Macaca mulatta: one gene and its partner. The protein of the gene in region 2 interacts with the protein of the main gene of each other region in a pairwise test. Links are inferred from orthologs where the notes say so. Each region holds a gene or a part of one and is shown on either strand. Other genes may lie near its edges.

Region 1 (3,745 bases), on a different chromosome or scaffold from region 2:
ATGACCTTGGGCAAGTCACTTTAACTTTTTTAGTCTCACAAAGTAAGAATCTAGCCTTAGAAGGAGGCTGCCAATATTAGAGTGGGAAGTGCCTGACACATAACAGGTGCTCAGAGAATGGCAACCATATATATATATATACACACACACACACACACACACACACACACATTTTTTTTTGAGACAGGGTCTTGCTCTGTTGCCCAGGCTGGAGTACAGTGGCATGATCTCAGCTCACTGCAACCTCTGCCTCCCAGTTTCAAGTGATTCTTTTGCCTCAGCCTCTAGGGTAGCTGGGACTACAGGCACATGCCACCATGCCCGGCTAATTTTTGTATTTTTAGTAGAGACAGGATTTTGCCATGTTGGCCAGGCTGGTCTTGAACTCCTGACCTCAAATGATCCCCCTTCCTCGGCCTCCCAAAGTGCTGGGATTACAGGCATGAGCCACCATGCCCAGCTGGCAACTATCTTTTATTATAACTCTGTGAGTTCTTCTCAGCAGAACTGGACTTTCAGGAGTGGTAGGAATCAGGCAGGGAAAGGCCGGGCGCGGTGGCTCAAGCCTGTAATCCCAGCACTTTGGGAGGCCGAGACGGGCGGATCACGAGGTCAGGAGATCGAGACCATCCTGGCTAACACGGTGAAACCCCGTCTCTACTAAAAAAAAGTACAAAAACTAGCCGGGCGAGGTGGCGGGCGCCTGTAGTCCCAGCTACTCGGGAGGCTGAGGCAGGAGAATGGCGTAAACCCGGGAGGTGGAGCTTGCAGTGAGCTGAGATCCGGCCACTGCACTCCAGCCTGGGCGACAGAGCAGACTCCGTCTCAAAAAAAAAAAAAAAAAAAAAAAGGAATCAGGCAGGGGATAGGGATTCTGAAGGACCTTATTCCTGCAGGGGGCCCAGAACTGAAACCAGAGGAAGGGGGCCTCCGAGACTGGACAGCGGGCAAAGTCCTCCCAGCCCCCCCAGGGTCCTGGCTCCCTTCCCTGTAGCCTGCTCCTGGCCGACAACAGAAGCAGGGCCCCAAGGTTAGGCAAACAAGCTAGTGATAAGGCACTTCCAGGTCGGGCCTTGCATTCAAGGCCCACCCAGCTCTGGGGCTGACTTCCTGGCTTAGCGAAAGCGCTAGTCTTTTGTGCACACAAGAGCAGGCACCAATGGGGACACCTGCTGATTGTGCACCTGGGGCCTTGGTGCCCTGGTACAACCTGGGTTAATGACCTTGTTTATCCACTTGAGTCATCCGATAAGGGGCAGCTGAGTGAGCGGCAGGTGGCCCTGTGCCCTGCACCGGCCACTTCATTGACTGAAGTGATATCAGTGCCACGTGGGGTTCCCAATGCCCCCTCCCCCACCACTTCCCCACCATTCCTGCCAGGGGCAGTGTCTGTGTGTTTTTTTCAATGAACATGACTTCTGGAGTCAAGGTTGTCGGGCCATTCCCCCCCTTCCACTCACTGGGAATATAAATAGCACCCACGGCGCAGAACAGAGGGCCAGAGAGCTGGAAGTAAGGGCAGATCCCAACCATGAGCACCAGCCAACCAGGGGCCTGCCCATGCCAGGGAGCTGCAAGCCGCCCAGCCATTCTCTACGCACTTCTGAGCTCCAGCCTCAGGGCTGTCCCCCGACCCCGTAGCCGCTGCCTATGTAGGCAGCACCGGCCCGTCCAGCTATGTGCACCTCATCGCACCTGCCGGGAGGCCTTGGATGTTCTGGCCAAGACAGTGGCCTTCCTCAGGAACCTGCCATCCTTCTGGCAGCTGCCTCCCCAGGACCAGCGGCGGCTGCTGCAGGGTTGCTGGGGCCCCCTCTTCCTGCTTGGGTTGGCCCAAGATGCTGTGACCTTTGAAGTGGCTGAGGCCCCGGTGCCCAGCATACTCAAGAAGATTCTACTGGAGGAGCCCAGCAGCAGTGGAGGCAGTGGCCAGCCGCCAGACAGACCCCAGCCCTCCCTGGCTGCAGTGCAGTGGCTTCAGTGCTGTCTGGAGTCCTTCTGGGGCCTGGAGCTGAGCCCCAAGGAATATGCCTGCCTGAAAGGGACCATCCTCTTCAACCCTGGTGAGCTCCCAGACACTCCTGGGTAGGGGGCAAGGCTGAAGCAGGAGCCAGCCAGGGAAGGTAACTTCTAAGGGTTTGATATCTGTAATCTCATGGGGTCCACATTTTCTTTTTTTTTTTTTTTCTGAGACAGAGTCTCACTCTGTCACCTACTCTGGAGCGCAATGGCGCGATCTTGGCTCACTGCAACCTCTGCCTCCTGGGTTCAAGCAATTTTCCCTGCCTCAGCCTCCCAAGTAGCTGGGATTACAGGTGCCCGCCACCACTCCCGGCTAATTTTTGTATTTTTTAGTAGAGACGGGGTTTCGCCATGTTGGTCAAGCTGGTCTTGAACTCCTGATCCCTCTGGTGATCCACCCACCTTGGCCTCCCAAAGTGCTGGATTACAGGCGTGAGCCACTGTGCTTGGCCGGTTCCTCATTTTCATCAAATAGCCATCTCACAGAAGAGGTACAGAGAAGCTAAGTGACGAGCTAAAGGTAACACAGCCAGGTAGGGACAGACCAGGATGGCAACTCAGGTCTATTCACTCCAGAGACTGGCCCTTGCCACTCTGCCTGAGAAATTTGCTCTGACCTTTAGAGAAGGCTGCGGGGGAGGTGGGGTGGGCAGACACAGCTGTGTCTCAGTCACATCTTCAAAGGAAGGCTGCATGGTGAAGCTCTAGAGCTGAAACTCCTCTGTGGGTTCAGAAAGATCACTTAGAAGAGAGAACTGAAAGGGGTGTAGGGAGGACAGGAAGGGAGTCTTTGTGGAATTTGGCCAGGAGAGTGGCAGATGAGACAGTGCTCTTTGTAATCTGGAGAGCATCTGAGATGAGCGTTCCCCAGGAGTCCCTGTGGCACGCATAAATCGTAGTAGTTAATTGCAATAATAGTAGCAAATACTCATATCACACTTACCATATGTTAGGCCCTATTCTAAGGGTTTTACATATACTAGTTCATTTAAATCTCATAAAAACCTAGGAGACAGGTCCTATTAATATTATTATCCTCGTTTTACAAATAAAGAAACTGAAGCCCAGAGATTAAGTTACTTGCCCAAGGTCACCCAGCTAAGTGACAGTACTGGGATTCATACTCAGGAAACCTGATTCTTAACCATTACTCCATACTGCCTCTTCATAAATGGATGGATGAATACAATGGAAATTGATAAATAAATTACCTCCTCCAAAGGAGGAGGTAGTAGTGGGACCTCAAAGGCCGAGCAAAGGAGGCAGAGGGGTGTCTCTGATGGCCCAGATCTTGGGCCAGTCTCTTCCTTTGGTGGCTGGGAGTAGGATGCTCACCAACCCTCTTCTCCCTCTCTGCCCACAGATGTGCCAGGCCTCCAAGCCGCCTCCCACATTGGGCACCTGCAGCAGGAGGCTCACTGGGCGCTGTGTGAAGTCCTGGAGCCCTGGTGCCCAGCAGCCCAAGGCCGCCTGGCCCGTGTCCTCCTCACAGCCTCCACCCTCAAGTCCATTCCGACCAGCCTGCTTGGGGACCTCTTTTTTCGCCCTATCATTGGAGATGTTGACATCGCTGGCCTTCTTGGGGACATGCTCTTGCTGAGGTGACCAGCTGCAGCCCAGGCAGAGATCAGGTGGGCAGAGGCTGGCAGTGCTGATTCAGCCTGGCCATCCCCAGAGGTGACCCAATGCTCCCGGAGGGGGCAAGGCTGTATAGACAGCACTT
Region 2 (3,745 bases):
AATAATGTTTCTAATTTTCCTGTGTAATTTAATAAAAATGTAAATTGCCGGGCGGATGACACGCCCTGCCACGGTGTTGACCGAGATTAATTGCGGGCGCTCATGGTCAGCCTGCCTTTGTCTCTGCGCCCCGAGCGCAGCCCGGCTTCTCCGTCTGCCTGGGAGGCAGACACCGTGCCGTCCACCCTGATGGGGACTGCAGTGTCCGGGCTTCTGCCGAGCAGGAGGGGGGCCTGGTCAGTCAGAGCCAGCCCCTGCTGTGACCCCACACCCCTCTCCGGAGGAGCACGGGGCTGGGAGAGGACATTCAGGGGCCTGTGCTGACGGGCAGGTTCCAGGTATGCGGAGGGTCCCTGGCCAGCATGGTTAGGGAAGGCCCTCCGGGGGGATGCTGTAGGTGGACTTGTGCATGGGAAGGAGCAGCCGGTGGGGAGGTGGAGGAGGACCTCTCAGGCCAGGGGAACAGTGTGGGCAAAGGCCCCAGGGTGGGGCTCACTGGCAGGGGGTGGGGTGGTCAGTTAAGAGCTGGACGTTGAGGTCTGGCAGCCAGGAGGGGCCCGGTGGGTGACAGAGCCAGGCAGGGCATGGCCAGTGGTGCTGGGCATGTCCTGATAGTGGTGAGCATCCTTCAGAGGCTGTGAGTGCTGAGTGAGGGTCGTGGCGGCTGGTGAGGATGGACCCTAGGGGCAGGAGGGGAATCCGTGTCCACTCGGAGACGGAAGCAGAGGCAGCCGTGGCCATGACTGTGGGGGATGGAGGAGCCGGTTAGAGCCGTGGCCGACAGGCCTGGAGCAGGGGCTTGGGGTGACCCTGTGGTTTGGGCCCACACAGTGGTGCCATTTCTAGGGACGTGAGGCATCGAGGGGAGTCGGGGGTGCCAGGTGTGGAGGCAGTTGCAGTTGAGGTCATGCAGGACCCCTTGCAGGTTACAAGAGCAGTGCGCATTGAATGCCAGAGCTCTGGGGTAGACCTGGAAGCCTCCCAGGAGGCGAAACCCCAGGGTCTGTGGTTGGAGCTTGGAACATTTTAGTGGCCCCGGGGTCTGTGGTTGGAGCTTGGAACATTTTGGTGGCAGGGCCAGGGTTTTGAGAGGGAGGACAGAGCAGCATTTGCTGGCGCAGCGGGCATCGTGGTGCGATGGTTTCCAGGATGCAGGGCAGTGAGAGCCAGGTGCAGCTCCTCTGAGCTCAGGCTGGCTGGGAGGGTCCCCGCAGCCCAGTTTTGTCCCAAGGTCCCCCAGGGCCCATGTGGCCGCTTGTCCCCTGCTGCAGATGGAGGCCAGTCACGGACAGAATGTTGATCTGGTCCCGGGGGATGCAGGTGGCCGACACGTGGGTTGAGTCTTGGCTGAGTTCAGCCAGGCTCGAACAGCCATGCTGCTGTGGGATTGCGATGGAGGGCTGGCTCCTGCTCAGTGCTTCCCGGCCTACGTACGCCCTGTCCTCGGGGTCCTAGGCTGCATGGCACCTGCCCATCCATCCGCTGTCAAAGGCATCACGTGTCCGCTGTGTGCTGCCTCAGGCCCAATGCAGGGTTCGGTGGTCAGAAGACTTCACGTGCCTCCCCCGGATGCTGGATGTCGAGGTGGGTGAAACTGGGCCTGGGGTTGCAGTCCCTGAGGGAGAGCTGAATGTGTGTGCGTGGCTTTAAAACACCCAGAAGCCCCAGACCTTGGCAGGACCTGACTTTGGACACCAGCTCTGTACCGCCTGAGTGCCAACCGTGGCATTGCGCCAGCAGGGCCTTGAGACTCGGGAGGGGCTGGCATATCCGAGACCCAGTTCTGTCACTTGCAGTGAAGGGCTGGTCCCCGCTGAGAAGGCTGGTGATGCACGGTGGGTACGCCGCTTCCCGGGAGGGGACCTGTGCTGTCCCTGAATTCACCGAGGGCCAGGAGGGGTCCCAAACACTGACCCGCCTCGTGAGGGCCTGCACAGAGGCTCTTGCAGGAGAGGGGTCTGGCTGGGCCTGCAGACCCCAGCTCCCTGTCCCAGCCTGGCCCCAAGCTCCCGCTTCCTCATGCTGGGCACCCGGGGAGCCCTGCTGACCCCTGCTCTGCACCTGGACAGCTGGGTGTCGGTGGTGGGCCTGCTGAGGGTAGCTCTGGACAGGGGTGCCTCGGCCTGGTGGAGGGCTTGGCCGAACTTGGTGGCAGGGAGGGAAGCCTCTCCACGGGGAGCAGGAGGGAGGATAGGGACGGCTGGTTGGTGGGGAAAGAGAAGAGGCTGGCTCAGGTGGCCTGGGGTCTTCGGCTGCCACATGTGGCAGTGGTACTGCAGGGGTGGCTCGGCCCTGAAGCTCGTGGCGGGTAGAGCATGCATGGACAGGGACCCAGCAACTTGGCGAGCATGGGCCAGATGGGCAGGGTTCTCAGGTGGCCCCATGCGTGGGTGCCATCAGGAGACCCCGCATCGGGCGAGGTTACCTGTGTGCCTGCTGACTTGTCTCATGAGGTTTGGGGACTTTAGTTCTACCTGAATGCCCGTCTCCCTGGAGGCACAGGGCTGTGCACAGGGTTCCCCAGGGCTGGGCCTGCCGGGCGGTGTCCACCCGGGAAAGCTGCTTGGAGGAGGGGCAGAGCTGGGCTGGCTCGGGTGGGCGGACGGGTGCCGCAGGCTCTCCTGGGGTGGGAGTGGGGTGGACAGTGTGCACGATCTCGCCCTGCCTGTGACACCTTCCTCTCCTCCTAGTTGGGTCAGCTTCTGGCTGCGGCTGGTGTCTGGAGGTCCGCAGGCACCGCTGGGACCCCTGCGCCAAGCCCAGGACCCCTGGTTCATGCCTCTTTCCAGAGCACTTGCCGGCCTATGGTCGGGAGGAGCAGACCCGCCAGATGGCTGTGTGTGTGTTGAGGGAGGGTGGAGGATGGGGGTGCAGCCGCCCAGAGATACCAGGAGATGTCATGCCGATCGCACGCTTTGATTAAACAGCCTGTCTGGGGCCGAGTGGGCAGCTGGTCAGTGTCAGGCTCCCAGGGCAGGATGTATGGAAACCACCGGGGGAGGGAGGAACTGGCCCCCGAGAGCCGGTGGGGCTGGAGCCGCGGAGTGGCCTGAACACAGCGCTGCTGCATCGTTCCCTGGCCCCCGCCTCGCCAGCTGCAGCCTTGGAAGGCCCTTTGCCCCTCCAAGCCTCAGTTGCCTTTTCTGTAAGGGGGGATGGCTGTCCTCGCCCCCTGGGTGGTGGCTCAGAGCTGGATATGCTGTGTAGTAGTCACATGGGTGGCATACTGGTGGCTGGGGTCCCCAGGGGCTGCCCGTGGGTGGTCAGCTCCATTTGGAGGCCTGTGGTTTCCGGCTAGTGTCTTCCACCAGGCACAGCAAGCCCCAGACGATGCTACATGAGGATTGTGTGGGCCCCTGTGCTGTGCCCGGGCTGTGCTCACCCACATGGGGAGCCTGAGGCACTGCCCACTGGGGCCTCCCTGGCCCAGCTCCACTCTGCCCTTCCCCACGAGAACCAGCCTCCCCCCGGGAGCAGCTCCATCTGGGGCATTTTCATGCCTTCTGCTGAGGTGGGTGGGGGTGGGGATTGGGCCAGTGGCTCCGCTTTCCTCGGCCGCCTGTCCCCACTGCATGAGGAGACGCATTCGAGGGGCTGAGAGGCTGAGCCCGGGGCCCGGCCTGGCTTGGGTGGTGTCTCCCCTGCCACCTTGTCCTCATCTGTACTGAGGGTCAGCATCAGCATCTCGGCTGTATGATGGTGCGGAGGCCACCTGTCCTGCACCCACAGGAGGCCCTGTGCCTCA

The links. The genes of interacting proteins can lie anywhere in the genome.
Region 1: the proteins of RXRA (region 2) and NR0B2 interact in a two-hybrid assay, tested with the Homo sapiens proteins (2 studies listed by BioGRID and IntAct). The link is inferred for Macaca mulatta from reciprocal best matches to the Homo sapiens genes RXRA and NR0B2.

What each region holds. Positions count from the first base shown.
Region 1 is NC_133406.1:214,067,698-214,071,442, forward strand, and holds the start of NR0B2 (nuclear receptor subfamily 0 group B member 2), read left to right. Parts: upstream 1-1,470; 5' UTR 1,471-1,531; coding exon 1,532-2,063; intron 2,064-3,385; coding exon 3,386-3,627; 3' UTR 3,628-3,745. UniProt on the Homo sapiens protein: Transcriptional regulator that acts as a negative regulator of receptor-dependent signaling pathways. Specifically inhibits transactivation of the nuclear receptor with which it interacts.
Region 2 is NC_133420.1:8,157,068-8,160,812, reverse strand, and holds the start of RXRA (retinoic acid receptor RXR-alpha), read left to right. Parts: upstream 1-1,363; 5' UTR 1,364-1,373; coding exon 1,374-1,584; exon of another isoform or gene 1,585-1,630; coding exon of another isoform or gene 1,631-1,835; intron 1,836-3,745. UniProt on the Homo sapiens protein: Receptor for retinoic acid that acts as a transcription factor.